Mus musculus: one gene and its partners. The protein of the gene in region 1 purifies or fractionates together with the protein of each later gene. This does not show direct contact. Links are inferred from orthologs where the notes say so. Each region holds a gene or a part of one and is shown in the gene's direction. Other genes may lie near its edges.

What was found.
Region 2: the proteins of Hnrnph1 (region 1) and Tardbp purify together in Homo sapiens (affinity purification with western blotting; 3 studies listed by BioGRID and IntAct, with this or other methods). This does not show direct contact. The link is inferred for Mus musculus from reciprocal best matches to the Homo sapiens genes HNRNPH1 and TARDBP.
Region 3: the proteins of Hnrnph1 (region 1) and Hnrnpa2b1 purify together in Homo sapiens (affinity purification with mass spectrometry; 5 studies listed by BioGRID and IntAct, with this or other methods). This does not show direct contact. The link is inferred for Mus musculus from reciprocal best matches to the Homo sapiens genes HNRNPH1 and HNRNPA2B1.
Region 4: the proteins of Hnrnph1 (region 1) and Fus purify together in Homo sapiens (affinity purification with mass spectrometry; 4 studies listed by BioGRID and IntAct, with this or other methods). This does not show direct contact. The link is inferred for Mus musculus from reciprocal best matches to the Homo sapiens genes HNRNPH1 and FUS.
Region 5: the proteins of Hnrnph1 (region 1) and Ilf2 fractionate together in Homo sapiens (co-fractionation; 3 studies listed by BioGRID and IntAct, with this or other methods). This does not show direct contact. The link is inferred for Mus musculus from reciprocal best matches to the Homo sapiens genes HNRNPH1 and ILF2.
Region 6: the proteins of Hnrnph1 (region 1) and Hnrnpa3 fractionate together in Homo sapiens (co-fractionation; 3 studies listed by BioGRID and IntAct, with this or other methods). This does not show direct contact. The link is inferred for Mus musculus from reciprocal best matches to the Homo sapiens genes HNRNPH1 and HNRNPA3.
Region 7: the proteins of Hnrnph1 (region 1) and Hnrnpm purify together in Homo sapiens (affinity purification with mass spectrometry; 3 studies listed by BioGRID and IntAct, with this or other methods). This does not show direct contact. The link is inferred for Mus musculus from reciprocal best matches to the Homo sapiens genes HNRNPH1 and HNRNPM.

Annotation. Positions count from the first base shown.
Region 1 is NC_000077.6:50,376,278-50,380,664, forward strand, and holds the start of Hnrnph1 (heterogeneous nuclear ribonucleoprotein H), read left to right. Parts: upstream 1-1,400; 5' UTR 1,401-1,525; exon of another isoform or gene 1,526-1,581; intron 1,582-1,958; exon of another isoform or gene 1,959-2,013; 5' UTR 2,014-2,053; coding exon 2,054-2,150; intron 2,151-3,190; coding exon 3,191-3,346; intron 3,347-3,543; coding exon 3,544-3,687; intron 3,688-4,387. UniProt on the Homo sapiens protein: This protein is a component of the heterogeneous nuclear ribonucleoprotein (hnRNP) complexes which provide the substrate for the processing events that pre-mRNAs undergo before becoming functional, translatable mRNAs in the cytoplasm.
Region 2 is NC_000070.6:148,616,950-148,620,659, reverse strand, and holds part of Tardbp (TAR DNA-binding protein 43), read left to right. Parts: coding exon 1-68; intron 69-1,305; coding exon 1,306-1,476; intron 1,477-1,868; coding exon 1,869-2,399; 3' UTR 2,400-2,954; coding exon of another isoform or gene 2,955-3,010; 3' UTR 3,011-3,024; coding exon of another isoform or gene 3,025-3,092; 3' UTR 3,093-3,710. UniProt on the Homo sapiens protein: RNA-binding protein that is involved in various steps of RNA biogenesis and processing.
Region 3 is NC_000072.6:51,466,856-51,471,115, reverse strand, and holds the start of Hnrnpa2b1 (heterogeneous nuclear ribonucleoproteins A2/B1), read left to right. Parts: upstream 1-1,270; 5' UTR 1,271-1,439; coding exon 1,440-1,445; intron 1,446-3,689; coding exon 3,690-3,725; intron 3,726-3,820; coding exon 3,821-3,931; intron 3,932-4,063; coding exon 4,064-4,210; intron 4,211-4,260. UniProt on the Homo sapiens protein: Heterogeneous nuclear ribonucleoprotein (hnRNP) that associates with nascent pre-mRNAs, packaging them into hnRNP particles.
Region 4 is NC_000073.6:127,966,006-127,970,322, forward strand, and holds the start of Fus (RNA-binding protein FUS), read left to right. Parts: upstream 1-1,473; 5' UTR 1,474-1,559; coding exon 1,560-1,572; intron 1,573-3,556; coding exon 3,557-3,581; intron 3,582-3,711; coding exon 3,712-3,866; intron 3,867-4,317. UniProt on the Homo sapiens protein: DNA/RNA-binding protein that plays a role in various cellular processes such as transcription regulation, RNA splicing, RNA transport, DNA repair and damage response. Binds to ssRNA containing the consensus sequence 5'-AGGUAA-3'.
Region 5 is NC_000069.6:90,474,956-90,479,111, forward strand, and holds the start of Ilf2 (interleukin enhancer-binding factor 2), read left to right. Parts: upstream 1-1,245; 5' UTR 1,246-1,285; coding exon 1,286-1,290; intron 1,291-2,049; coding exon 2,050-2,109; intron 2,110-2,364; coding exon 2,365-2,407; intron 2,408-4,156. UniProt on the Homo sapiens protein: Chromatin-interacting protein that forms a stable heterodimer with interleukin enhancer-binding factor 3/ILF3 and plays a role in several biological processes including transcription, innate immunity or cell growth.
Region 6 is NC_000068.7:75,662,143-75,665,852, forward strand, and holds part of Hnrnpa3 (heterogeneous nuclear ribonucleoprotein A3), read left to right. Parts: intron 1-344; coding exon 345-434; intron 435-518; coding exon 519-614; intron 615-702; coding exon 703-783; intron 784-1,428; coding exon 1,429-1,572; intron 1,573-2,885; coding exon 2,886-3,008; intron 3,009-3,091; coding exon 3,092-3,144; 3' UTR 3,145-3,159; intron 3,160-3,255; 3' UTR 3,256-3,710. UniProt on the Homo sapiens protein: Plays a role in cytoplasmic trafficking of RNA. Binds to the cis-acting response element, A2RE. May be involved in pre-mRNA splicing.
Region 7 is NC_000083.6:33,647,328-33,651,037, reverse strand, and holds part of Hnrnpm (heterogeneous nuclear ribonucleoprotein M), read left to right. Parts: intron 1-640; coding exon 641-1,443; intron 1,444-2,173; coding exon 2,174-2,225; intron 2,226-3,710. UniProt on the Homo sapiens protein: Pre-mRNA binding protein in vivo, binds avidly to poly(G) and poly(U) RNA homopolymers in vitro. Involved in splicing.

The DNA of each region.
Region 1 (4,387 bases):
TGAACGCACTCTGTTGCTCAGGCAAGTCTTGAAGTTGCAGTTCTCCTCGGCTGGGCTTGTGTTCTTGCCTTTCACCCACCTCCTGGCCTGGAGACTTGGGAGTTCTCACTTTTCGATGATCTAAACTAGTGTTTTCTGTCTCCTCTAGATAGATCCTTTGCAGGTGAGGTCATGTGCAGTTATTCTCCCAGCCTGTCTCATCCGAGTTTCCCTTACACCTGAAGGTTCACGTTACACAGCTCCTGTTGCTCTCTTGAAGTCTTGTGATGCCCTTCTACTTAACACCCTTGCGCAGACTTAAAAGGTCTGAGTTCTGCACGCAGTCTCTGCACCTTTCCTTTGATGACACCCCCCCCTTTTAAAAAACAAACTGTTCAAACTGGATTTAGCCTCCTCAATGTTGCACTTGAAAGAAAAGCGTATTTTTGCCTGTAACCTCTTGTGATGGCTTTCAGAGGCTTACCAATTGTGGTACCTACCGTGGCACCGCCCAAACAATAACTCTTATTGTTAATTTCTAGGGTAGGTCAGTCAGATTCGGAGAAACTCGGGACATCATCCGTATTCTGCTATGTTGCAGGAATTCTCTTAAACGTCACCCATTTACCTCTGTAAGGGCACACGGGATGACCCGGGCGTGTCTCCACCTTGGGAGAGGCCCGTTGGTCGGTCGGGCGCAGCGCTCTGGGGCTGCGTCCTTCGCGCCCCTGGCAGTCTCAGCCTTCCCTCGCGAGGCGCCGCACACCGAGCGCCTCTCGTGCAAGGGCGAGGGGTTCGTAGAGTGCGAGTCCGTTAGGCAAAGTGGGGTACAGGACTAGCTCGGGCACTGGCAGCCCATGTGGGTCGGGACTGACCCCCTAAAGCGGGCAGGTAAGGGGACTGGTCCCAGGCGCCCCACGGAGATCGGGGATTTGGGCGCAGGGGGCGGGGCGGTACCCAGAGGAGGTTTGGCACAACCCGGCCCTCCAGCTCCTACGCGTTCTGAGGAGAAAGGGCATGGCTTCCTTTTCTTCGTGGTGTCTTTCAAAACCGACAGGAGCGCGGATGAAAAGCTGCGGATTAAGGGTAGAACTACCGCCCCTGCAAACCTGAACGAACTCTGGATTACTACCCAGTCCCTGCGGGGAGCTGATTAGCGCCATTCCCCTCCCCCACTCCGGCGGGTAGGTCTAGAGAACGGTTTGAAGGTAGCCGCATGCGCATTAAGTAAAACAAGAAACCGCTGAGACGCCAAGCGCAATAATTGCAAAAAGGCGCAGGCGCAGAAAGAAAAAAAAAAAACAACCAAAAACACCTCGGTCAGTTTATGAAGAGGGCTGAGCCCAAACGCATGCGTGTAATAATAGGACGGCGGGAGAGAGCTCGGGGTTTCTTAATACGCATGCGTCCAATCTCTCTGTGACGCAAGTGGGGCGGGGCCGGCAACAGGGTGCGCGTGCGCAGAGCTTGCTGGAAGGGCTTTATTTAGCCTGCGCAGGCGCCCGCTTATCATTTCTCCTCAGCCACGCCGAGGCTTTTTGTGGAGGTGAGTGACTTTCCGTCTTCGACTGCTGCCCGAGCTCTCCACGGACACCTCTTTGGGTGACGATTGCTTGTCGCTGAGCTTAGGTTCTAACCTGAGGGGCCGTGGCAGGCGCAGGCTGCCCCTGGGAGCCGCGAGTGTCTCGCCGGCGTGGCAGCGCCGCCTAGGCCTGCAGGCCGCGCCGCTTTCTATTGTGTGAGATGTCTGAGGAGGCGGAGCGGAAGCGGCGGCCGCCATTTCCTCGTCTCAACCGTGGCTGTGGGCCAGGGTCTTATTAGCTTGGCGCCTCGGCCCTGGGCGCACTGGGCGGCTTTGGGCATCGGGTCGCTAGCCGAGGCCGGGTTGCATGCTTGAGTCTCCGGGGCCCAGGCATCCTGACGGGCGGGACTCGCATGGCGGCGCCCGGTGCCCGCTGTGCGCCGTGAAGTGGGAGGGCCATTTAAATGCCTGTTTTCTCAGACGCGTTCCTGACCCCCACCCCCACCCCGCAGCCCCGCAATCTGTGTGGACGCCAGGACCACCGAAGGGACGATGATGCTGGGAGCAGAAGGCGGAGAGGGCTTCGTGGTGAAGGTCCGGGGCTTGCCCTGGTCCTGCTCCGCGGATGAAGTGCAGCGCTTTTTTTCTGGTGAGTTGAGGCGGGAGTTGTCAGTGGGGCCCGCGGCTGGGCCGGGCCGGGCCGGGTTGGGGCGGGGCGGGTCTCCCGGGCGCCCCCTAGCGAGTCGCGGCCACCAGCGGTTTCCCCAGGCGGCTCGCGCTCTGTTGGCCGCTGTTACGCAATGGTAATTGCGAAATCCGCACCCCCCCCAACCCCCTTGGGGATGCTGGTGGCCCTGCTGAATTTGTTTTCTTTTAAAACTTTTTCTGTCTCTATGCATCAATCTGTGCATTCTGGAGTAGTCTAAGAAAAATTTAAGTAGGGAAAGATGTGATTTCTTCTCAAGTCGTGTAAGGTTTTGTAAAAAGGTACTTGTAGTGTTGACCTTACCATCTGAATTTAGCTGTGGTAACAGAAAACGATCTGTAAATCGAGCCCCAAGTATACTGCAAGCAATTGCAGGGGGCCGTTGCCGTCCGGGTTTGAGTTGAACTGCAGCTTGGAGCCTTTAGTTGTTAACATTGGTCCCTTTTCGGATGAATATTGAGCTGGAGTTTGGATTTGAATGAAATTGTTATGTGGTTGCTGATAGAGGGAAGCTGACATGGTACCCAAACAAGAAAATGCTGTGAAGTCACCAGATCCAGATGAGATTATTCTGAGATAGTGTACCAAGAGATGGTTAATGGAAACTTAGAGGCAAGGTGGTAGCTTCATTTGAACTTTTTTTTTTTTTTTTTTCGAGACAGGGTTTCTCTGTGTAGCTCTGGCTGTCCTGGAACTCTGTAGACCAGGCTGGCCTCGAAATCAGAAATCCGCCTGCCTCTGCCTCCCCAGTGCTGGGATTAAACGCGTGCGTCACCACTGCCCTGCTCCATTTGAACTATTTTTGAGCATTGAGTTACCTTGTTGGACTAGGAATATATCCTGTATATGAGATAATTTGATCGTGTTCTGCTTGGTCAGTCTTTTTAGGCATGTTTTTTTTTTTTTGGTGTGTGTGATGACAGGAATATGCATTTTATCTGTAGTGGTTTTAAATCCTGTATTAAGCGTTGTTTTCTTTTCAGACTGCAAAATTCAAAATGGGGCTCAAGGTATTCGTTTCATCTACACCAGAGAAGGCAGACCAAGTGGCGAGGCTTTTGTTGAACTTGAATCAGAAGATGAAGTCAAATTGGCCTTGAAAAAAGACAGAGAAACTATGGGACACAGATATGTTGAAGGTTTGATTTACATTGCCCTAGTAACAGTAAACGTTTAAACACATAGAGGTCTTACCCCTTCTGAATTTTAGGTATTTGACCGCATGGAAATGGTCATCTAAGGGAGTTTATGGCAGCTCTTCCTAGTTATCTAAAAGCCCAGGAAATCTGAACTTTGTTCTCCAACTTAATTGACTAATTCTAAGCACCTCTTTCAGTATTCAAGTCAAACAACGTTGAAATGGATTGGGTGTTGAAGCATACTGGTCCAAATAGTCCTGACACAGCCAATGATGGCTTTGTACGGCTTAGAGGACTCCCTTTTGGATGTAGCAAGGAAGAAATTGTTCAGTTCTTCTCAGGTATGTAGTCCTGTTTGTTGCTGAGCAGTGAGGTATGGCAGCTTCTGGCGACATGAATTAGTATTAGTAGACCTTTAAAAAGTTGAATAGTCTAGGTACTTAAAGTAGGCTGTTGAATATATGTTGTTGAATTCACATTTTCTTCCTGGAGACCTTCAAATAACTTAAGCCCATCTTAAAGGTGGAAATTAGAAGTATTTCCAAAGTGTTAACTTTGCCTATATTTAGTATTGTAGTTCAGAGTAGACCTTTGAGGATTCTACTCAGCCATCTTAACTTCCTCATATTGCTGTTTAGCAAAGTACTTCAAGTTAAAGGTAAGCTCTTTTAACATTAGATTAGTGTGAGTCTAGATTGTTACAGTTTATGGTGTTATAACTTATTTTCCGTCATGGGACCAGAAATATTTTAGCTAGTGTAATTCTCTGTATGAAAATTGTTATGAAAGGAACTTGGCTTAGGTAGCCTATTAGAAGTCAAAAAAGTAAATTGTAGCAAGTGTAGGTTGAATGCTTGTAGTCTCAATATGAAAGCAGTATAGAAGTTTTTGAAGTTGTTCTGGGCCTAAAGTATTTGAATGTTTTTATGTTGAAGAGCTGATAGGATTTGCATGCTTAGCAGAATGTTAAATCTTGTATATTTTAAGTACTATTAATACTCTTGATGACATAGACAGAATTAATCAAATATCTTAATAGTT
Region 2 (3,710 bases), on another chromosome or scaffold:
TGAAAGTAATGTCACAACGACATATGATAGATGGGCGATGGTGTGACTGTAAACTTCCCAACTCTAAGGTATCTTGCCCTGTATTTTGTTGGTTTGGTTTGGTTTTTGAGGCAGGGTTTCTCTGTAGCCCTGGCTGTCCTGGAGCTCACTTTGTAGACCATGCTGGCCTCAAAACTCAGATCTGCCTGCCTGTCTTCTAAGAGTTCAGATTAAAGGTACCACCCTGCTTACTTAATGTTGGCTTTAATGTTCTGGGGAACTTAATATTCATCTAGTGCTTTTCTGGGCAGCATTTGAACACTTAGCCACATCCCCAGCCCGAATTCATTCCATGCAAGCAAATAAGGCTGACTTGGAACATTGTGTTTTGGCTCAAAGAATACTTTCATAGAACTTTATTTAAAAGGACTGAGGAGATAGGTTCATTTGGTCAGTAAAGTGCTTACCTTAAATATGAGGGTCTGCACTTGATCCTAGAGCACACATTTTTATTTATATTGAGACAGGGTTTCTCTCTGTAGCCCTGGTTGGTCTGGAGCTCAGTATGTGGACCAAACTGACCTCAACTGCTCTGCTTCTACCTTCCCAGTGTTGGGATTTAAGGCCTGAGCTACCACACCGAGCCAGACCCAAATTTTTGTGGTTTTGTTTTGTTTAAACAGTTGGGTGTGATAGCAGGTACTTGTAATTCCACTCCTGGGGAGAGGAGGCAGGTGAATCCTTGGAGCTTGCTGGCCACCAATCTAGCCAAATTACAAGGCTCAGTGAGAAATCCACCTTCAAAAGAGAAGCAGGGCTGACTAATAGCATCAACCTCTGCCCTTTTGTATAATGGTCTCTCAGTGTATAAAACAAGTTACAACTGAGCATGATGATGATACATTCCTGTAATTCTCGAGTTTAAGGATATTCTGGGGTTCATAAGAGCCTGTCTTTGAAATTCCCGAGGAAATGAGGCCGGCTGGCAAATAGTATTTGTTGTTCCTGGAGAGGATTGATTCCGTTTTTAACACCCCCATGGCAGCACACAACTCACTACAGTTGTGTGTGATTCTCTCCTGACCTTAAAAGGCATCAGACGTGCATGTGGCACAGGTAGATGCATGAAGGCAAAACCCTTTTTTAAATTCCAAGAAACCAGTCTTGTCAGTATACACCTTTAATTTCCATCTGGGGTGCGGGTGTGTGTACAGGCCAGGCAGTAGTACACAGTTAGCCTCATCTTTAGAAACAAAAACACCCAAGACGGGAAGGCACTTAAGTATGCATTGATGTGTTTACCATCTCCTGTTCTCTCTTGACCAGCAAAGCCCAGACGAGCCTTTGAGAAGCAGAAAGGTGTTTGTTGGACGTTGTACAGAGGACATGACTGCTGAAGAGCTTCAGCAGTTTTTCTGTCAGTATGGAGAAGTGGTAGATGTCTTCATTCCCAAACCATTCAGAGCTTTTGCCTTCGTCACCTTTGCAGATGATAAGGTATATTTGTTGGTCATTTGTCCCAGGGCTGGGAATGGATCTGGTTTAGTGCTACTGTATGTGCCCAGCATGGTACACCAGGGGCTGCACTCAGTCTCCAACACTGAAAATGATAAGTGAATTGTTCAGCAGATTGCCACCTTCCCTTTTCACAGAATAGAGAGTAGATTTAGATAGTTGTAAGATGCCCTTCAAGTGTTTGTCATTATTTGGATTTGGGGGCTATTACATACTGCTGCTTAACATTACTATAACTAAAGGCTGCTGGTTGGGTTTAAGTAAATTGCCTGTTTTTCCTCCTCCTTAGTTGGGTTATATTAAGATCTGGGTTTTACTGCTGTGTTGATATCTGGGTTGATCTAATCATTTATTTATATCCTTGTTTCTTACAGGTTGCCCAGTCTCTTTGTGGAGAGGATTTGATCATTAAAGGAATCAGCGTGCATATATCCAATGCTGAACCTAAGCATAATAGCAATAGACAGTTAGAAAGAAGTGGAAGATTTGGTGGTAATCCAGGTGGCTTTGGGAATCAGGGTGGGTTTGGTAACAGTAGAGGGGGTGGAGCTGGCTTGGGAAATAACCAGGGTGGTAATATGGGTGGAGGGATGAACTTTGGTGCTTTTAGCATTAACCCAGCGATGATGGCTGCGGCTCAGGCAGCGTTGCAGAGCAGTTGGGGTATGATGGGCATGTTAGCCAGCCAGCAGAACCAGTCGGGCCCATCTGGGAATAACCAAAGCCAGGGCAGCATGCAGAGGGAACCAAATCAGGCTTTTGGTTCTGGAAATAATTCCTACAGTGGTTCTAATTCTGGTGCCCCCCTTGGTTGGGGGTCAGCATCAAATGCAGGATCGGGCAGTGGTTTTAATGGGGGCTTTGGCTCGAGCATGGATTCTAAGTCTTCTGGCTGGGGAATGTAGGTGGTGGGGGGTGGTTAGTAGGTTGGTTATTAGGTTAGGTAGATTTAGAATGGTGGGATTCAAATTTTTCTAAACTCATGGTAAGTATATTGTAAAATACATATGTACTAAAATTTTCAGATTGGTTTGTTCAGTGTGGAGTATATTCAGCAGTATTTTTGACATTTTTCTTTAGAAAAAAAGAGGGGAAAGCTAAATGAATTTTATAAGTTTTGTTATATAAAGGGTTAAAATACTGAGTGGGTGAAAGTGAACTGCTGTTTGCCTAATTGGTAAACCAACACTACAATTGATCTCAGAAGGTTTCTCTGTAATATTCTATCATTGAAATTGTTAATGAATTCTTTGCATGTTCAGAGTAGAAACCATTGGTTAGAACTACATTCTTTTCTCCTTATTTTAATTTGAATCCCACCCTATGAATTTTTTCCTTAGGAAAATCTCCATTTGGGAGATCATGATGTCATGGTGTTTGATTCTTTTGGTTTTGTTTTTAACACTTGTCTTCCTTCATATACGAAAGTACAATATGAAGCCTTCATTTAATCTCTGCAGTTCATCTCATTTCAAATGTTTATGGAAGAAGCACTTCATTGAAAGTAGTGCTGTAAATATTCTGCCATAGGAATACTTCTGTCTACATGCTTTCTCATCCAAGAATTCGTCATCACGCTGCACAGGCTGCGTCTTTGACGGTGGGTGTTCCATTTTTATCCGCTACTCTTTATTTCATGGAGTCGTATCAACGCTATGAACGCAAGGCTGTGATATGGAACCAGAAGGCTGTTTGAACTTTTGAAACCTTGTGTGGGATTGATGGTGGTGCCGAGGCATGAAAGGCTAGTATGAGCGAGAAAAGGAGAGCGCGTGCAGAGACTTGGTGGTGGAAAATGGATATTTTTTAACTTGGAGAGATGTGTCACTCAATCCTGTGGCTTTGGTGAGAGAGTGTGCAGAGAGCAATGATAGCAAATAACGTACGAATGTTTTACATCAAAGGACATCCACATCAGTTGGAAGACTTTGAGTTTTGTTCTTAGGAAACCCACTTTAGTTGAATGTGTTAAGTGAAATACTTGTACTTCCCTCCCCCTCTGTCAACTGCTGTGAATGCTGTATGGTGTGTGTTCTCCTCTGTTACTGATCTGGAAGTGTGGGAACGTGAACTGAAGCTGATGGGCTGCGAACATGGACTGAGCTTGTGGTGTGCTTTGCAGGAGAACTTGGAAGCAGAGTTCACCAGTGAGCTCAGGTGTCTCAAAGAAGGGTGGAAGTTCTCATGTCTGTTAGCTATTCATAAGAATGCTGTTT
Region 3 (4,260 bases), on another chromosome or scaffold:
CAAGGGCACTGCGCCACGGGCCCGCGCCTCCCCCATCCGGCGGCGGCCACGTAGCCGGGAGCGCGCCGCAGCCCGGAGCCTCGGGCCTCGCAGCTGCAGAGCCTGAACCGCTCTCTCCCTGCGGGCCTGCGACGAGGCTGGGGGAGGGGAGGCCCGCGCTTTGTCTGGAGTCTCGGTAGCTGTCATCCGGCTCCCACCCTCATGCACAATTGTCCCATCTCCCCCACGCACCGGCGCGGCGCCCGCCTCAGCGAGGCCCCAGCCGGTTTCCCGCAGCCCGCGGCCCACGGGGCTCGCAGCCTCCCCGCAAGCTCGGACGCACGGAGCATCCTAAACCCCACCACACGCAAGATCGAAAAAAAGCAAAGGCACGAACTTCACCGCTCCGATGCTCAGGGCCGCGGATCCTGCAGAGTCTCCCGCCTGCGCGCTTCGGTTCAGCCACATCCGAGGGGAGGGGGCGCGGGCAGCTCCGCCGGGGGGGAGGGGGAGCACCGCCCACGCCCTGGCCGCGCGGGGCCCGCCGGGAACGCGTCCTGCGGGGGGCGGCGCGCGCAATGCTCACCGTCCGCGGCGTGGCGCCCAGGGGGTCTCCTGGCTGGGGGGAGGGGGGGGAAGGCGGGCAGGAAGGACCGCGGAGGCCTCTCTGCGTCTCGGAGCGCGCCAAAGCGGGGCTCCACCCACCTCCTTGCCCGGATCTTGAAGGCCGGGGAGATAAACAGCGGGGTTCTTTAAGCACCACCTCTCACTAGGCGCGGGATCCCAAGGCTTGTGGCATCCGGGGTGGTACTTGGACTAAAAGTCCTTCTGGGAGGGACCGAGTGAGAACCCCTTTGGGACGTGTAGAAATATTTGTGTGGTTCGAGAATATTTGTGCGGACGGGCTTGGCAAAGGCGTAGCTGCAGAGAGCACGCTTGGGTGGAGAGGGCCGCACGCCCCAGCGCCGGCCTAAGCCCCTCCCGACGGCGTTATTTCAAACTGCGCGACCGTTTCTCCGCTCCCTACGCGGAGGTGGGGGCCGGACCTAGTTCCGGACGTAGTAACACGCCGAGCGCGAGCCTTCCGCAATTCACGGAACACAGTTGCGCAAGTGATGTAAAGCAGTCCCGCTGTACCTAAAGGGGGAGTGTCACGTACTTGGCGTAAGGAGAGTGTAGGCCCTTCCCGCCATTGGCGGCGGTTAGGGCGTTTACGTAACGGCGTGACGTAAGCGGAGACGCGTTAGTGGGGGGAAGGTTCTAGAAAAGCGGCGGTCTCGGCTCCAGCGGCAGTAGCAGCGGCGCCGGTCCCGTGTGCAGGAGCTCCTTTGCGGCCCAGTTTCTTGGCCATCGCCTGCTCTCCCCACAGCGCCAGGACGAGTCCCGTGCGCGTCCGTCCGCGGAGGTCTTTCTCATCTCGCTCGGCTGCGGGAAATCGGGCTGAAGCGACTGAGTCCGCGATGGAGGTAACGGGTTTGAAATCAATGAGTTATTAAAAATGGCATGGCGAGGCCGTAGGCACCGCAATGGAAACCGGCCACCCGCCTCCGTGGTCCGGCGGAGGGGATGCGGCCACTCGAGTGGCGGTTGGCCTTGGCGAGTTTCTGAGGGGTCGTTGGAGGAGGCCTCTGATTGTCCGACCGCCTTCCCCGCCCTCAGCCGCCCGGCGCCATTTCCCTCAGTTGGGGTGGGGGATGGGAAGTGCCCGCCGCGACCGGGCTGGACCGCTAAAGTAGCGCGTGAGCGGGCCATCGCTGGCCTTTCGATGTGCGCGGGCCTAGGGGCTCGGTTGTGTTCGCGGCGGAACGTTTCTGGGGCCCCCCCGGCTTCCCGGAGCGAGTCTGCGAAGCTTCCCCTCCCCCCTCTCCCGGGAACCGGATTTGGCGGCCGCCATTTTCCCGTCTCCTTCCTCGCCACGATTTTGCTTTCAACGCTTTAGGTTTACTAGTTTGGTTTTCTTTTTTCACCACTGCGTAGACGTGTTTAGCGATTTTCCTTTCTTTTGGAAGTCTTCATACCGTTTCGAGGTGGATTTAGCGTTTTGAGCTTGGGTCTTCAGCGTCCTGCGCACCTCGCTAAAGGCTCTCTGCCTTCCCCTCGACGAAATGGCGCCATTGCTTTCTGAAGCCACCGAGGCGCGGGGTGGGGGCGGGGTGGCGGCGCTCCACGAGCTTTACTGGAACAGGCAGAGAGAACGTAGTACAACCGAGGCCTGGGCGGGTGGCTGAAGGCAGCGTCGCTGCAAAGAGACCGTTTTATTTTTCATAATACGTAAGATTACGGGTGCTGTAGTAAAGCACTTGAGCATTAGTATAGTAGGAGGAAGTCAAAGTGGAAAAAATGGGAGCGCTCATCAGGAAGCTAGGGAGGCTATGTTGAGTGCAGGGTTACTTTCCTTTTATTGCAGAACTTTTATCTGCTTAAAGGATCCTCGGATCGAAATAATTCAAATTATAAGCATTTTTAAGGGAATCTTCGAATTTGTTGGTAAAGTCAACGGATCCTTAGCACGTGGTGTTCACTTTAAGGAAGTGAAATAGCTGACTTTTCATAGTTAGCCTTCGCTTAAAGCCTGGTTCAGTGGACGAAAATCCACGTCCTGGCTATATAAAAACTTAGTTTGGGGTCACAGTGTTTGAGCGTGGTCATTCGGTTTTTTTATTTTTTATTTGTTTGAAATTATGATGCATCATTACACTGATAAGCATTAGCTTTCGAATTGAAAGGGGTCTCCTTGGTTATTTTCTTTGACTCTAAGCACACTTATAAATAAAATAACCTTGTTTATAATCGATAGTGGACGTCTGGTAAGTTTGGAAAAAACCCGAGGTAAGTAAAGAGCTTTTGCTTTCGTTAGTGATATGAAAAAACAAGGTGTATTTAATACTTGCAACTTAGTTTAAGGAAAGCCAATTTACTGACATTTTAGTAGAGCTACCAGAAACACTATTTGGAGTCCTGATTAAGGCTTTTGTAACTATTTTGACTATTTAAAACAATTTTGGTCGTTTTTATTAAACATTTCAAAACCTAAAAATTGTAAACATTGGCTTTTTGAGCACATTTTGGAGAAACTTACAAATTTAGGCTATACAGTAAAATAACGGATTTGTTTTATAATTTTGCTTTTTCATTTCGTTGTGCAGTCATAGGTCCTGGATAGTATGACCTAATTTATGAACATCTTGATAAGTTTTTGTACTTAGCTATTGGAAAGCCAGTATTAAGTGCCTGACAAAACCAGATTTAAGGTGATATCTGGAGTTTCAGCATTCTTCATGGAGCTTGTTTCAGAGTTGCAGGATTTTTTTTTTTCATCTTGAGATACTTACAATTAACACCAGAGGGGGCAGCTCAGGGAAAAGCAAATATGCCACTTTTCAGAAACTGAATCTTGGAAGTGGTGAATTTGGAAACAGGTTTTTTAAATTTTTTTTAAATCTAAAAAGTAGTAAATTTTGGACTTGGGTTGTAGAATTTAATGAATTACAAAAGAATTCTTTAATACCCTTTAAATGACCTAAGAGCTGGGTATGGTTTTTCTGAATTTTTTTGAAGAAAATCTAAGAAAGTTTACGTGAATTAGAAGTTAGATCGAATATTAGTGACTTTGAAACTTGTATAGCTCAGGCAATTTTTGGTGTAACACAACTAATATGCAGTTTAACATATGGTTTAAATTTGATGTAAGTTTTTTTTCTCCCCCCCAGAAAACTTTAGAAACTGTTCCTTTGGAGAGGAAAAAGGTACTCTACCAGCAGGTCACCTCATATTTAAGAATTTAATTTCCTGCATACAAAGAAAGTGTAAATAAAAATTGAAATGGTATTTCCCTTTGCAGAGAGAAAAGGAACAGTTCCGAAAGCTCTTTATTGGTGGCTTAAGCTTTGAAACCACAGAAGAAAGTTTGAGAAACTACTATGAGCAATGGGGAAAGCTCACAGACTGTGTGGTACGTACGTTAACTCTGAAAGTCTGGCTGTATGTTTGGGTGTGAATACTAGGGAATACCAGTATCAATACATTCTAATTTATATTGCTACCTAATGCCGGGAAATTAAATGCTTATCTTTTGGATTTAAAGGTTATGCGGGATCCTGCAAGCAAAAGATCAAGAGGATTTGGCTTTGTAACTTTCTCATCCATGGCCGAGGTTGACGCTGCCATGGCTGCAAGGCCCCATTCCATTGATGGCAGGGTAGTTGAGCCAAAACGTGCTGTAGCAAGAGAGGTAAGGAAAACCCAAACACATTGATCTCCTTTCTTGTACTGTTTTTTTTT
Region 4 (4,317 bases), on another chromosome or scaffold:
AGTACACCGTAGCTGTCTTCAGACACTCCAGAAGAGGGTGACCCCTCTCCTCTTCTGGATCTCGTTATGGATGGTTGTGAGCCACCATGTGGTTGCTGGGATTTGAACTCAGGACCTTCGGAAGAGCAGTCAGTGCTCTTAATCGCTGAGCCCTCTCTCCAACCCGTCATTTTTGTTCTTATCCACTTGGTAAACTCCCAGTAGAAATGTCATTCCCTCAGACCCATCCTAACCTACTCATTGCAAAATGAATTACCTGATCTCTGTGATCCCAGAGTCCCTGGTATTGGAATTACAGTTGGTTGTTTGCCCACATTCGGGTACTAGGAATTGAACCTGTGGTTTCTCTAGAGCAGCTGTCTCTCCAACCCCCTTGAATTTCGTTTTGTCCTTGAACTGACAAAAAGTGTTCATGCCTTTAAATGCTTTCAATCATTTCCTGTAACCAAGAAGCATTTTGTAGTTCCCCAGGCTTAGACTTTAAAGATCAGAAGGTCTGACCCTGAACTGCCTCGTACCTCATTCACATTCTTAGTCTAGCCGCTCACTGCTCTCATAAGATCCATCTCCCCTCCACCTCTGCCTAGCTCCGGGACTGGAGAGGTAGGCAGGGTCATGCACAGGCTAAACGATCGCTCTATCATTAAGCTACATTCCTCAGATTTCTTTACAAGATGATGATGGGGGAAAACCAGGACGACTGTAATTCCAGGATGCACAGGGCTAAGGCAAATAGGATCAAGGATTCGAGATCAACTGAGCGGTACTGAGAGGCCAAATTAAAAAAAAAAAGGGGGGGGGTAATTGTGGGTTTGAAGCCTCTTAAGTTGTATACATATGTGTTATTGTTGAACCAGCCTTAGGGCCATAGGGTCCAGACTAAAGCTCATCTTCTTCCAGGTTAAACGTCACAATCTATAAACCTTGTTAAGGTCTAAAGAACAGCAAGCCGAGGCATTCCTAAGTGAAAAACGAGACTGATCAGTGTGCTGTCTGTCAGGAGAGAATGTGGAGGACCAGAGCGACACTGCGTTCGACTCAGTTGCTAGGCCAGGGCAAGCGAAAGTATGCTGCATCTTCCCCAGTGAAAGTGGGGCCCAGCCGCTGGGCCGGTCGGAAGGATTTCGGTTCCCACACCCGGAGACTCCAGGCCTTGACTACACAGTTCCGCTCTCGGGCGCAGGGCCCTGGCACCGCCCCTAGCGGGAGGCCGGGTCGTACCATTCTGCCTCTAGTGGGGTAGAGGTGTGTCGAAGGCGAGCCCCGGGCGACGGACGAGAGCCACCGGCCGCAAGGAGAAAGCGCGTGCGAGTGTTTGGGAATAAAGCGAGTTCGTTTTCCCTCTTGTCTTCCTGAGCTCTCCGTATCCCCGGGGAAGGGTGGGGACCTGGGCGTGCCTCCCCCTCGCGCTTCTCCACTTGGTACGTCCCGGTGGCGCGTAGGCGGCAGGCGTACTTAAGGCGGGCGCGGGAGGCGGGGCCGCTCAGTCCTCGCGGCATCGCTTCGCGGTCGTCTGGAACTTTGTTGCTTGGCGGCCTGCGCTGCGCGCGTGCGCGGACATGGCTTCAAACGGTATGTGGGAGCGCGAGGCGGCGACGGCGCGTCCCTGCGAGGCCTCGTTCCCTCGCAGCAAGGCTTTTGGCTTTCGGCTGGGCCTGCGGTGGCGGGCGAGTGGGCTCCCCCACCTCTGGCGGGAAGCAGCGGGTGGAGGGAAGGGGAGGGCGGTGTCGCCATTTTGTTTGGCTCCCCTGGCGCCTTTGGCGCGGAGACCGTGGGTTTTCTCTCCTGGCCCGGTCACTTGAGTCGAGTGTTGAGAGAGACGCTGCCTGGCGACGTGGGGTGACCGGGGTGAGGGAGCTCTGGGTCTCCGCAGCTTCGCCCCACCCCCTCCCCTCCCTCCGTTCCCGGCCTCGCTTTGTCGCAGTGCTGCATCCGGGCACTTGGTGCGCGCACGCGCTCCTCTGGCCCCTCCCCCTTCTCGCCGCGGCCCCCCTCCCCCCCGCCAGGAGTTGGTCCGTTTTTTTTACTTTTTTCTTTTTTTCTTTCTTCTTCTTTCTTTCTTTCTTTCTTCTTCTTTTTTTTTTTTTTTTTTTTTTTTTTGTCGCGAGACCCTCGGCGGAAGACTTGTGGTCCGGTGCTGGCCTCGCCCTGCTCGCTGGGTCCCTTGGGAAGGGGCGGGGCCACCTCTTCCCGCCTCCGTGGCCGCGCAGCGGGAGCGGAAGCTCCTGGCTGGCCTGCGTGTCCGTGGGATTGGGAGGACCGCCAGGGGATGACCAACGGAGTCAGGGACCCCGGCCTGAGTTTCCCACTTCAGAGTTGAGTTTTCCTAAGGCCGGAAGGAAATCAGAGGAGTCGCTCTCCGAGGCCACACCCTCTCGCTGTCAGTTTTGTCCCAGTGCGGGGGTAGAGCTTGGGTTTCCTGCAGGGAGCTGCTGAGCTACAGCTTCCCAGATTGTTGAAAGTGCTGTCTGCTTTGGGTGCGCATGGTAGGCGGGAGCTCAGTTATTTGGAGCCACACGTCGGGAACCTTGGGAGCACCATGCCATTTGGGGGTTGGAGAGTCCCATTCTTCTAGCTGCTTCCTTGGGCTTGAACTCAACTGTGTAATAGCGCTGACTGTCAAAGTTAATCTTGACATCCGGTGATACCACCTTTCCTGTATACAGAGCTGCTGTGAAGATATAAAATGTGGTGACGTGTGTTGCAGGCCTTGGAAAGACCTGCAACAAGTCAAAAGGATTTTTAAACTTAAGGGATGATCTGTATTTTGAGTTTTTTTTTTTTTTTTTTTTTTTTTTTAAAGATTGAGCCAGGTTTGGTGGCACACACCTTTAGTTTCAGGACTAAGAGGTAGAAGTAGGCAGATCTATGTGAGTTCGAGGTGGTCTACATATTGAATTCTGGGATAGATACATAATCGAGACTTCTGTCTCAAAAAAGAAAAAAGGCAAAAAGGACATGATGTTGGATTTTTTTTTTTTGTTGTTGTTGTTTTTTTTCGAGACAGGGTTTCTCTGTGTAGCCCTGGCTGTCCTGAAACTCACTCTGTAGATCAGGCTGACCTCGAACTCAGAAATCCATCTGCCTCTGCCTCCCAAGTGCTGGGATTAAAGGCGTGCGCCACCACGCCCGGTCCGATGTGGGGCATCTTTAATCCCAGCATTTGGGAGGCAGAGGCAGATGGAGCTTTGTATGTATTAAATTGGAGGCCATCCCGGTCTACAGAGTGAGTTCTATGCAGAGAAACCCTGCCTCTAGATAGAGAACCAGTCCACCCACAGAGCTCTGTGGCTGTCATGCTTAGTGGTCGCTTGTTTAGTGGGTCCCAAGCAAGCCCTGGGTTCTACCCAGAACAAAAGTCTAAGACTTATTGGTGTCTAGAAATTTGTGCTTTCTTTGCTTTTTGTAATAAAACTTGGCCATTTTGTCTCATGAGGAACTAACTTATGCCTGTTTTTGTAGATTTGTTTCATCTGGAGTGCCTAGTACAAAAGTTGAAGAATTTATTTCTATTCTTAACTAAAATTAAGACCTTTTTCTTTCCCATCTTTTACAGACTATACCCAACAAGCAACTCAAAGGTGAGTATACTGTTTCTGGTCTGATGCTAGAAGACAGCAAGGGTGATTGATCTAACTTGAGTTTTATGTATTTCTGTATGCTTTTGTTCTTATTCTTTTAGTTGAAGATTACTGGTCTGTTTTCTTGTAGCTACGGGGCCTATCCTACCCAGCCTGGGCAGGGCTACTCCCAACAGAGCAGTCAGCCCTATGGCCAACAGAGTTACAGTGGTTATGGCCAGTCAGCTGACACTTCAGGATACGGCCAGAGCAGCTATGGTTCTTCTTATGGACAGACCCAAAACAGTGAGTTCTTAGTAGAACACATCTTCATTTCTTTATGAATGTTAACTTTTCTTAAACCTGAACAATACCGAAATTCCCACATTTTCCCTAAAGTTTTGTAGTCATTCTTTTAAAACAAAAATACTGATTTGTAATTGATTTTATATTGGACTATTTTCTTCCTGCTTACTATTTTTGTGAAAAAGCAAGTTTGCTAAAGAGAGAACCAGTTTAGAATGACGGATAGGAAGGAAATGGTCTGCTTGGGAATTCTTGAAGTTGGCTGACAATCTGTGATTCACAGAGGTGGTGCCATTTTTACCTCACAAGGGCAAAACATTTTTCTTTCCATATCAGCACATTTAAAATGTAGTTAGGGCCAGGAGTGGTGGCACACACAACTTTATCCAGCACTCTGGGAGGCAGAGGCTAGTAGATCTCTTGAATCTTGAGTTGGAGACCAGCCTGGTCT
Region 5 (4,156 bases), on another chromosome or scaffold:
GATCCTCCAGCTGCTGCCTCTCAGGTGCTATAATTAAAGGCATGCTCCACCATGTTTGCCAAAATAGCGTTCTTTTTTTTTTTTTTAATTCTGTTATATTTATGTTGTGTTTATGGGTGTCACCACACCCACAACCTTTATAGTGAGGTCGGAGAACAAAATGCAGAAATCGCTGCTCTCCTTCCACCACTGTGGGTCTCAGAGGTTGAACTCAGGTTGTCGCGATTATACCTGCTGACTCACCTTGCTAACACGATAAAGTATTCCCTATTTTAATGAAGGTGCAGTTAGGTTACTTGAAAGGAATATATGCCTACGAAAGTAAGTAATACACCAATACTTGTCAGAATCACCTAACATAGCGAAGTGGGGAGGAGCTGGTGGAACTGGGGAAGAGAAATATGTGATCAAGATATATTGTATGACCCAGCACTCGGGAGGCAGAGGCAGGCGGATTTCTGAGTTCGAGGCCAGCCTGGTCTACAAAGTGAGTTCCAGGACAGCCAGGGCTACACAGAGAAACTCTGTCTCGGAAAAACCAAAAAAAAAAAAAAAAAAAAAAAAAAAAAAAGATATATTGTATGAATTTTTTTCAATAAAAAGAATCATATAATAGTAATGCTATCGAGGGAATAGTGGTGGTAAGTGGAATTAAGTTATTTCTCATATTTCCATAAGGTAAAAGTTATGTTTTCAGGTGAGGCGGCACACGCTGGAGATTGCTGAGTTTGATGACAGCTCGGGCTACACTAACGAGTATTATGTAAGTCAGGATGACCGAAAAAGACGCTATCTAAAAAAAAAAAAAAAAAAAAAAAGTTGGAGAAGAAAAAAGAATTGTATTTCTTGTTATGGAAAGGAAAATTTAATTAGATTGTCAAAATTTTAAAAACAAAGCCTCCGATAGCAGAGGATGGTTTCGATCCATCGACCTCTGGGTTATGGGCCCAGCACGCTTCCGCTGCGCCACTCTGCTACCCACTGGTAGCATTCTCTTCTTTTCCATAGAAGAGCTTACCATTCACCGCCTCAACTTCTGAACGCCCTCCGCTGTCAGTGGGGAAAATTGCCTTCATCCCTGTTATGTCTTCTTATTGGCTGGCTCCTTTACAGGGCATTTTTCATTGGTTGCTGCGTTAACCAATAAACGCGCGGGACGGAGTGAGGCGGGAGCCTATCGCGCAGGCGTTTGTTGGGACACGCCGGCCAGACGTTTCTCAGCCAGCCTAGTTCTTCCCAGCGAAGAGCGGTTGTGTGGCCTCCATTGTTCAGGATTAAGCGAGCCATGAGGTAAGTGGACAGAGGTGCTTGAAAGTTCCAGCCGAAGTCTCGGGGGCCTGGCTGAAATGGAGTCGGAGGAACAAGGGCCTGCATCTGGGCGGCCGGCGGAAAGCCTGACCGCGGGGGAGTGGAGCAGGAGGAGGCTGGCGGACTCCGGGAATCGGGCCCGGAGGGGGTCGGGGCCCAGCAGGGGGAGTTGTGTTGATACCTGGGTCTCGGGGGCCGGGAGGGGATGGAGGAGAGGTCTTAACGGCCCAGGAAGATCTCCCTCCGTGCGCAATAAGTAGGCTGGAGCGTTGCGCAATTTTCTGGTACCTAGTGTTTGACCAATAGTACATGCCTCGTAACTGTTAATGCTGTATTAATAAATGATAAGTCACTTTACTGTGCATATTAGGACTGGTGTGCCTCACGATCGTAGGTTACCTTAGTAGGGGTATGTATATCAGGTTCTGAAACTCGTATTTTCCTGATGTGAGTTTTGATAAAATCCTGAATTAGAAGTGGGGTGTGGTGTCGAAAGCTGCACTCACAGCACTTGGGAGGTAAGGCAGGAGATACATGAGATTCCGTCTCAAAAACAAGAAAAAGGAAAAGTCCAGAATTAGGATGTCATTGGGCACCATTTGGAATCTGGGAGAAGAGAGCATGAAATATCTATCCACTTCTGTAGTTCGAGGCGGTCAAGGTAAGTCAAATTGAAATAACATTGATGGTGTGATGGAGACCTTTTTCAGCGAATTGAGAGTAAAATGTATGTATTTTTAGGGGTGACAGAGGACGTGGTCGTGGTGGGCGCTTTGGTTCCAGAGGAGGGCCTGGTGGAGGGTGAGTGTGGCTGTTTGCATCTTTGCCTTGGTTTGTTTCAGTAGAAAGGGGTTTGGAGTAGATTGTTCTATTTCATTTCATGAAAGTCACGAAAAGCATTTCTTTTCCTGATGTCCTACTAAGTGGATTTGACCTTTTGCTAAGAATGATACAGCTCAGAAACTTTTCCAATTCTTAAGACAGAATTGGTTGGTGCATTGTGTACCTCTCTTGTGCTTTCTGCTTGAATAACTTTGGGTTGTTTTCATGTTTCAGGTTCAGGCCTTTTGTGCCCCATATCCCATTTGATTTTTATTTGGTGAGTATTTTGGCTTTGGAGGACTTTCCTGTTCACTTATAGGTGTAGAAATGGAGCCCCCTTGTTAATGGAGTCAGATACTGTTTGGAGTAGGATTCAAGAGTGGATCTTTTCTTTGTTTGAGTGAGGGTCTTCTGTATGATTGGCTGGCCTGGAACTCTATGAATACTTACTGAGTTGACTGCAAATTCACCATCTTCCTCCCTCAACCTCCTGAATGTTGGAATTACAGTCATGCATTCCCACATCTGGTGTAAATTTTTATTTACTTAGTATGAGTGCTAGAGATTTGAACCCAGGACCTTGAACATGTTAGATCTATATCCCTAACACCTAATTTTATTTTATTATTGTATTTATTATATGTCACTATCTACTTATAGGTATAGCTACAGGTATAACATGGCTCTAGTGGAGGCTACAAATTTTTTCCAGTTCTTGCATAACGGTGCACATCTGTCTGTAATTCTAATTTCCAAGGATCTTATGTCCCTGTTGATTTCCACAGGCTCATGCACACAGGATGCATATGCATTCACTGTGGCACTCACACATACACATAAATAAATATTTAAAAAAACAAGCCAGTTCACCAGTCAGTCTTTAAAGAGACTGTAATCCTTTTGTAATCCCAGAAATGGAAGCCTGAGCAGTAGGACCATGTTCAGAGTTCAAAGTCAGCCTGGGTTACTAGAGTGAACTGTCTCAACAAAAACAAAACATAGAAAACAGAGTCAGCAAGGTAGGAAAAATAATTCCTTTACAGTTTCATTGTAATATTTGTCTAAAAAATGTCTTTTTAAAAAATAATTTTTAGGACTTATTTATTTTGAGACAGTGTCTGTATCTATAACCTTGGCTGGCCTGGAAATCAGAGATCTGCCTGTCTCTGCCTCCACAGTTCTAAAAGTGTGTACTATATTACATGGCGGATGGGTTATAATCAGTTCCTTTCTTTCTTCATTTATATTTGGATTTTTAGATAGGGTTTTTCTGTGTAGCCCTAGCTGTCCTGGAACTCAGAAACCCACTTGTGTCTGCCACCTGGCTTGCTTTTTTAAAAAATTTCATGTGTATGTATAAAGTACTTGCCTATATAAATATTTACCATATGTGTGCTTGGTGCCTTTGGAGGCTAGAAGAGGTGACTTGTCAGAGGTTGTGAGCTGCCTTGGGTATGCTAGGGATCAAATCTGGTTCCTCTGCAAGAGTAGCAAATACTCTTCACCTGCTGAGTTATCTCTCTGGCCTCTGGGTAATTTCTGTTTGTGTGTGTGTGTGTGTGTGTGTGTGTGTGTAAATAGGGTTTCATTGTACAGCCTTGGGTGGCCTATAATGTACAGAGATCTGCCTGCCTTTGCCTCCTGAGAGCTGGGATTAAAGATGAGGGTCATCACTGCCGGGCCTTTATTTCTTTTTATATAAAGGTAATGAGTACTCAGGCTGCTGTTGTAGCTCAGTTGGTAGAGTGCTTGACTGGCATGCACAGAGCCCAGAGCATTTCATATATCAGTATGAGGGTACGCACTAATAATCTAAGTACAAAGGAGGAAGACACAGGAAGATAAGATTACAGTCATCCTCAGCTACATAGCAAGTTCAGGTCAGCCTGTGATTTTATATAAGACCCGTCTCAAAAGAAATAACAGAAAAACAAGGTTTGCATTTGGACTTGAACATCTGAAGGAGGTGAAAACAAGTGTTGTAAGGTGTACTGGCTTTGAAATGGTCCCTGGGGAAAATAAAATT
Region 6 (3,710 bases), on another chromosome or scaffold:
TCATCTAAGTCAGTGGTTCTCAACCTTCCTTATGCTGTGACTCTTAATACAGATACTCATGTTGTGAACCCCAACCATAAAATTTTCATTGCTACTTCATAACTAATTTTGCTACTGTTATAAATCCATGTATATCTGATAAGCAGGATGTCTGTGACTCAACCTATAGGCTGAGAACTATTGATCTAGATCAGGAAACATTTCTAAAATATTGACTCATTCTCTTCTCAGTCTACCATCTTAATAATATTTTAATTAATTGCATGGTGATAAAGGGTTCACTTTAACATGGTTTTCCAAACAAAAAATAACTTTTCTTTTGTTTTTGACTTAAAAAAATATAGTTCAGAAATACCACACTATTAATGGGCATAATTGTGAAGTGAAAAAGGCCCTTTCTAAACAAGAGATGCAGTCTGCTGGATCACAGAGAGGTGAGTAGGCTCAGATACACATAAACAGTGGGCATGAACAGTTGTGGGAAAGATGTGAACTTTTCACTCCAATTCTTGTTACAGGTCGTGGAGGTGGATCTGGCAACTTTATGGGTCGTGGAGGAAACTTTGGAGGTGGTGGAGGAAACTTTGGTCGTGGAGGAAACTTTGGTGGAAGAGGTAAGGTGTTCTCATTATATGTGCTGATCTATCAAATTTACTAGTAAGTTGAAAGTGAAATTTTAATTCAAATCTTGCATTTCCTTAGGTGGCTATGGTGGTGGAGGTGGTGGCAGCAGAGGTAGTTATGGAGGTGGTGATGGTGGATATAATGGATTTGGAGGTGATGGTGAGTCTTAAAATGTTGAACTTGGTTATTTTTAATTTCTGCATTGCTGGGAATCACAAGGCCTCAAATGCTAGGTGGTAGGACATACAACACATGTGGTAGGCGACATGTTTTGGTTTTAACAACCACATTAAAAATGTCACACCTTCTAATTCCAAAACTTTGAATAGGTGAAATACTTTTCTAACTAGTACCACAGACTAGGAAGCCTCTTTCCAAAGATGGAAGTCAAATATTAGTTAGTTGTCCTTGGCTTAGTAGAGTAGGATTTATTGTACCAGAAATAGAACTAAAATTTTCCAAAGTAAAATTGAAAACTGACTTTAAAGGAAAGAGGGCCAGGTGTGGTGGCGCGCGCCTTTAATCCCAGCACTCAGGAGGCAGAGGCAGGTGGATTTCTGAGTTCGAGGCCAGCCTGGTCTACAGAGTGAGTTCCAGGACAGCCAGGGCTATACAGAGAAACTGTCTCGAAAAACAAAAGAAAGGAGGATGCTAATATTAAGATTTTTTTAACCGTCAAGATTACTTTGTGCTCTGTGACTAGATTCTAGAGTGTGAAACTAGGTCTTGCCACTTACAGTATATAATAAAAAGTTAGAATTATTTGGTCCCCCTGAACAACTTTCTATGTGGTTTTCTTTGCAGGTGGCAACTATGGTGGTGGTCCTGGTTACAGCAGTAGAGGAGGTTATGGAGGTGGTGGACCAGGATATGGAAACCAGGGTGGTGGATATGGTGGTGGAGGAGGAGGCTATGATGGTTACAATGAAGGAGGAAATTTTGGTGGAGGTAAGTTACATAGATGTCTGGATTAAATGCAAACCAGCGTTTAAATTAAAATTCCTTGCAGTATGTGGAACTGCTTTAAAAGATAAGCTGAAATAAAGTTAACTGTTACAGCTCTACTGTAACACAGCTTATCCATGTGAAATTTACAACTTAACCCTAACTAGTCATTATTTTTAACTTGTGGGAATATAGCACTACATAAATTTCACATTTGAAGGTGAGTGTGCAAGGGGGGGGGTCCTTTGAATTCCAGGTTAGTCTGGATATTAGAGAAGAAAAGTGAAGGTTTCTATTGTACAACTCAATGGTTTTTTGTTTTTTAAAAGATTATTTGAGTAAAAGGTTTAAAAGTTTATGACTGCAGCTGTCCAGACACACCAGAAGAGGGCATCAGATCAATTGTACGTGATTGTGAGCCACCGTGTGGGTGCTGGGAATTGAAGTCAGGACCCTTAACCACTCAGCCCATCTCTCCAGCTCCCAATTCAATACTTTTAAGAATATTCACAGTATTTTATAATGCTCATCACTAGTCCCAGAACATTTTCGTCAACTCAAATATAGGACCTTATTTTATTTAGCCCAGCAAGCCTCGGGCTACATTGGCCTCTGGCTTTGTTCTTTCTTGGACCCACCTCCCGAGTGTTGGGACTGGATTTAGCATGCTAGGCATTTGATTTTTAAAAATTGTTTTGCAGTGTCTGTAGATACTGCAAATTGGCAAGCTTTACTGTTTATTTAGCATAGTGAAACGTACATTTACTAGTTTAGTAAATTAAAAGAGAAGTTTTAAATTTTGGCTTATTGCTGAGATTTCCTTAATTCTTGGTGAATGCAATGCCAAATCAGCTTTTGGAATACATTGGATATTACTGTATTATTATCTATTGATAAATACTGCTTATATACTAACTGTACGGTGGACTGTACACAATTATTGCATGTAATTTACAGGAGAAACTTGAACCTAATTGATGTGAGTGACTGACATTAACATACCTTCCGTTACTGCTTTAAAAGTTGCATCAAAATCACAGCAAATACTGGTCTAAATGATGTGGCAGGAATAGAAAAGTGGGTGTTTTTTATGTATGCTAAAATTTGATAAGCGTCTTAGAAGTAGACAGATTCCACTTACTGGTCCCTCTTTACCTGTTTATTAGATCACTTAGGCTTCTGATAAATGGAGTTTAGTACCTAAAATTGCAATTGATGCTTGCATGAAAATACGTATAATACTTGCTGCCATGATGGTCCGAATAGTTACAGTGGTATTATTTTAGAAACTACAAATAAGATCTTTGTCATTTCAGGTAACTATGGTGGTGGTGGAAACTATAATGACTTTGGAAATTATAGTGGACAGCAACAATCAAATTATGGACCCATGAAGGGGGGCAGTTTTGGTGGAAGAAGCTCAGGCAGTCCCTATGGTGGTAAGTCTTTTTAATCAAAAATTTTCAGAGCCATCTTGGTTAACATATTCCGTATATTCAGAACTGTTATGTGTTATTTCCAGGTGGCTATGGATCTGGAGGTGGAAGTGGTGGATATGGTAGCAGAAGGTTTTAAAATAAAACAGAAACGGTAGGTATCTTTATATTTTTAAAAATAATGATAAAAAAGAATATATGGAACTGTTCACTGAGTGTAATAATTTTTTTATCCTATATTATTCAACAGGCTACAGTTCTTAGCAGGAGAGAGAGCGAGGAGTTGTCAGGAAAGCTGCAGGTTACTTTGAGACAGTCGTCCCAAATGCATTAGAGGAACTGTAAAAATCTGCCACAGAAGGAACGATGATCCATAGTCAGAAAAGTTACTGCAGCTTAAACAGGAAACCCTTCTTGTTCAGGACTGTCATAGCCACAGTTTGCAAAAAGTGCAGCTATTGATTAATGCAATGTAGTGTCAATTAGATGTACATTCCTGAGGTCTTTTATCTGTTGTAGCTTTGTCTTTTTCTTTTTCTTTTCATTACATCAGGTATATTGCCCTGTAAATTGTGGTAGTGGTACCAGGAATAAAAAATTAAGGAATTTTTAACTTTTCAATATTTGTGTAGTTCAGTTTTTCTACATTTTAGTACAGAAACTTTAACAAAATGCAGTTTCGAAGGTGTTTCCTTGTGAGTTAAC
Region 7 (3,710 bases), on another chromosome or scaffold:
CTTGCCATGGTGTCAGCATCTTTCTTCCAAAGCCAATGAAGTAGCTATCAATTTCCCCTATAGAAGGAAAGGTTCCAGAAAATGATCAGTTTGTATGCTTGTGTATATTGAGGGTCATTTTTGTTTTATCTTTTACATGGCTGTGTGATTATTTTGTGCCCTAGAAGTGCTAAAGGAATTGCAGCAATAGTGGACATCAGCAGGGCATTTTAAGAGGGACAGGTTCTCTCAACTTGAAGGTTGTAAGTAACTTTGAATTGTCTCCTGTCAGTTACCCTGAGTATGAAGTTTTCTGTGCTTTTTAAAGAGCATTCGTAATGTCTGCTGATGGGGACACTACAAAGGTTTTTAGAAATTGAAGTATGACAACTCATAGCCAGTATGGAGGTGAAGTTTTATTCCTTCTAAATTTTATTGTGAAATTTTTACCTGTGCTATGTAGTGGAAAGGATGATTGTGTGGATTTCAATGTGAAAACTTTCAAGAGGTTTTTTTTTGTTTTTGTTTTAATAGTAAATTACTTTGAGCATGACTTCCTGATTTGAGCTTAGGATCTGAAGTGCCCAGCCAGGCACACATTAGTATATGAACATCTACATAAGTCTCTGACTTCTACTTGTGCTTTTTATTCCTGTTTCAGGTGGAGCTGGAGGCAGTGTCCCTGGGATCGAGAGGATGGGCCCTGGCATTGACCGCATTAGCGGTGCTGGCATGGAGCGCATGGGCGCAGGCTTAGGCCATGGCATGGATCGAGTGGGCTCTGAGATTGAGCGCATGGGCCTGGTCATGGACCGCATGGGCTCAGTTGAGCGCATGGGCTCCAGCATTGAGCGCATGGGCCCACTAGGCCTTGACCACATGGCCTCCAGTATTGAGCGCATGGGCCAGACCATGGAGCGCATTGGTTCTGGCGTGGAGCGCATGGGTGCCGGCATGGGCTTCGGCCTGGAGCGCATGGCCGCACCCATTGACCGTGTGGGCCAAACCATTGAGCGCATGGGCTCTGGTGTAGAGCGCATGGGTCCTGCCATTGAACGCATGGGCCTAAGCATGGATCGGATGGTGCCCACAGGCATGGGGGCCAGCCTGGAGCGCATGGGTCCTGTGATGGATCGGATGGCCACCGGCCTGGAGCGCATGGGCGCCAACAACCTGGAGCGCATGGGCCTGGAGCGTATGGGAGCCAACAGTCTTGAGCGCATGGGCCTGGAGCGAATGGGCGCCAACAGCCTGGAACGTATGGGCCCTGCCATGGGCCCAGCATTGGGCGCTGGTATTGAGCGAATGGGCCTGGCCATGGGTGGAGCCGGAGGTGCTAGCTTTGACCGAGCCATTGAGATGGAGCGGGGCAACTTTGGAGGAAGCTTCGCAGGTTCCTTTGGCGGAGCTGGAGGCCATGCACCTGGAGTAGCCAGGAAGGCCTGCCAGATATTTGTGAGAAATGTAAGTGGTTCTTTAGTGGAATTTTCTTGTGGTTGTTGTGAAGTGGGGAGGCCAGTAGACTGAATGATGTAGACTGGAGAGGGAAGTTTGATGAAGGGAGAACTGGGCAGTACGGGTGATACAGCTTGCCTATCTCCAGAGTTGAACTGGAAGTTGAGGGGTTACTGGAAGAGCAGTAGTCTTAGTGCCAGGCATGGTGGTCCACTCCTTTAATTCCAGCACTCTAGAGGCAAAGGTGAAGTGGCACTCTGGGATCCAGTCTAAAAAGAGCTACCAGGTGAGACACTGTCTCCAAAATACAAAGAAACAAAAATACAATTGCCTGGCATTGCCTGTGATATGCCAGGTGAGGAATAGACTGAGCTCTAAAGGTCTGTGGTTTCTGGTCCCTGGCTTGAGGAGCACTTCAGCCTTGGCACAGTGATTCTGAGAAAGGTAGCTGTGCTTGAGTTACGTATTGTCACCAGATTGTGAGTTGTGCCACTTAGTAGCCTAGTTCTACATAGACTTGTTTTGTTCCCTGCTGATTGTCTTGAGGTCAGCAAGTGAGGATTTGAGGGATTACTGGGGGTTCAATCTAGGGCTGTCCACACACTAGGCAAATCACTGTATACCCCATAAGCTGCACTCCAGCCCAAGTGCCTTCAAGTCATATTCTCGTATCTAGTAGAATGTTTGTACATTAAGACTTTGTTGTATCACAGATTAGTCTGCCTCTTTTTTTCCTCAGCTCCCATTTGATTTTACATGGAAGATGCTAAAGGACAAGTTCAATGAATGTGGTAAGTGTGTAACAGGCTCTCTGTGCTTCCTGTGTCGTGGCTTGGTGATGCTGCTGAGTTGGAGCAGTGGAGCTTCTTTCCTAGTCTTACCCACCACTGTCCATGGGCTCCAGAGCGACCATGGGCCTTGCCATTGTTCTACCTGCAGGTGTACAGGCAGCTGTTGGGTGTCCTGGTATGTGTCATGCTGTGTGCTCATTTCATCCTTGCAGTTCTTTTCTAGTTAGTTTTTGGAAGCAGACTCTCACTTTATAACCTAGGCAAAACTCAAGTTCATGATTCTCTTGCCTCTGCCTTGCATTTGCTGGAACTATAGGTGAATGCTACCACTCCTGCTTTTTCAGAGTTTCTGAGAGGAGGCAGTGTTGTCATCTTTTTACATAAGAGTCAGCAAAGCAGTATTCCTACGGTCACAGACTTGTAAAACACAAAAAAAGTAAATTTAAGAAAAATTGATTTCCTCCATTAAACTCATAGCTGGTTTGGTTCCTCGGGAACTCATGCTTAGCAGTTGTAGGTCTGAGCACACAGTATGGGGTGAAAGTCTGGTTGTGGATTCTTAACACGAGGCAACCTTTCTGGAAAGCTTCTTTGATGACCAGGATGCAGTCGTCCCCTGCTTGCATTGCACCTTCTCAGCTAAACCAAGATGTGGGTGGCTGCTGGATCAAGACACCTGTTTCTTGTTTCCTCATGCAGAAATGGCTCACATTCCAATGTTCTTGGTGTGTTCCTTGATTCTTTGGGATAAGCTGTAGAGTCAAAGCCAACTATCTTTCCTAGTCCCGTGATTCTCTGAGTTGCAGTTTTCACAACAGTCAATATTGTAACTAGATATTCCAAAAACTGGGAATGGAATGTGTCACTCTCCCCACTTCTGAGAAAATTCAAACTCAAAAGATTCTGCAGACTTGGTTACATTTCTCTCCTGCCCTTGAACATGAGTTATATGTTCAGGTATATCCTCTGCTTTCCTGCCAGAAAATTCTCTCTGCCCCTTTGCTTTTTTCCTCCCCCTTTTCTCTTTTTGAGATAGGCTTCAAAGTCCTTATGTAATCAAGAATGACCTTAAACTCTTAGTTGTATTGGGGAGGGGGGTGACGGGGGGGGGGGGGATATAGATTGGGCCTTTTAAAACTCAGATGGCCCTCACTATATAGCTAGAAATAACCTTGAACTTGTAGTCTTCTACCTCCTGAATGCTTGGATTACAGAGGTAGCCACCCTGCCTGGTTTGTACAAATGCTGGGGTTCAACCCAGGGGTTTTATGCATGCTAGGCAAAGCACTGTGCCCACTGAGCTGCATCCTTAGTGACCTTGAATTCTTGATTCTTCTACCTCCAACTTCCAAGGGCTGGGATTACAGGTGAGATACTTTTCCCTCTCTTTTTCTCCTGTCTTATCATTCTCTTTTGAGCCTGGGCCTTGCCAGGTAGCTCTAGACTGGCCTAGAACTCAAAATCTTGCTTTAGCTTCCCAATCAC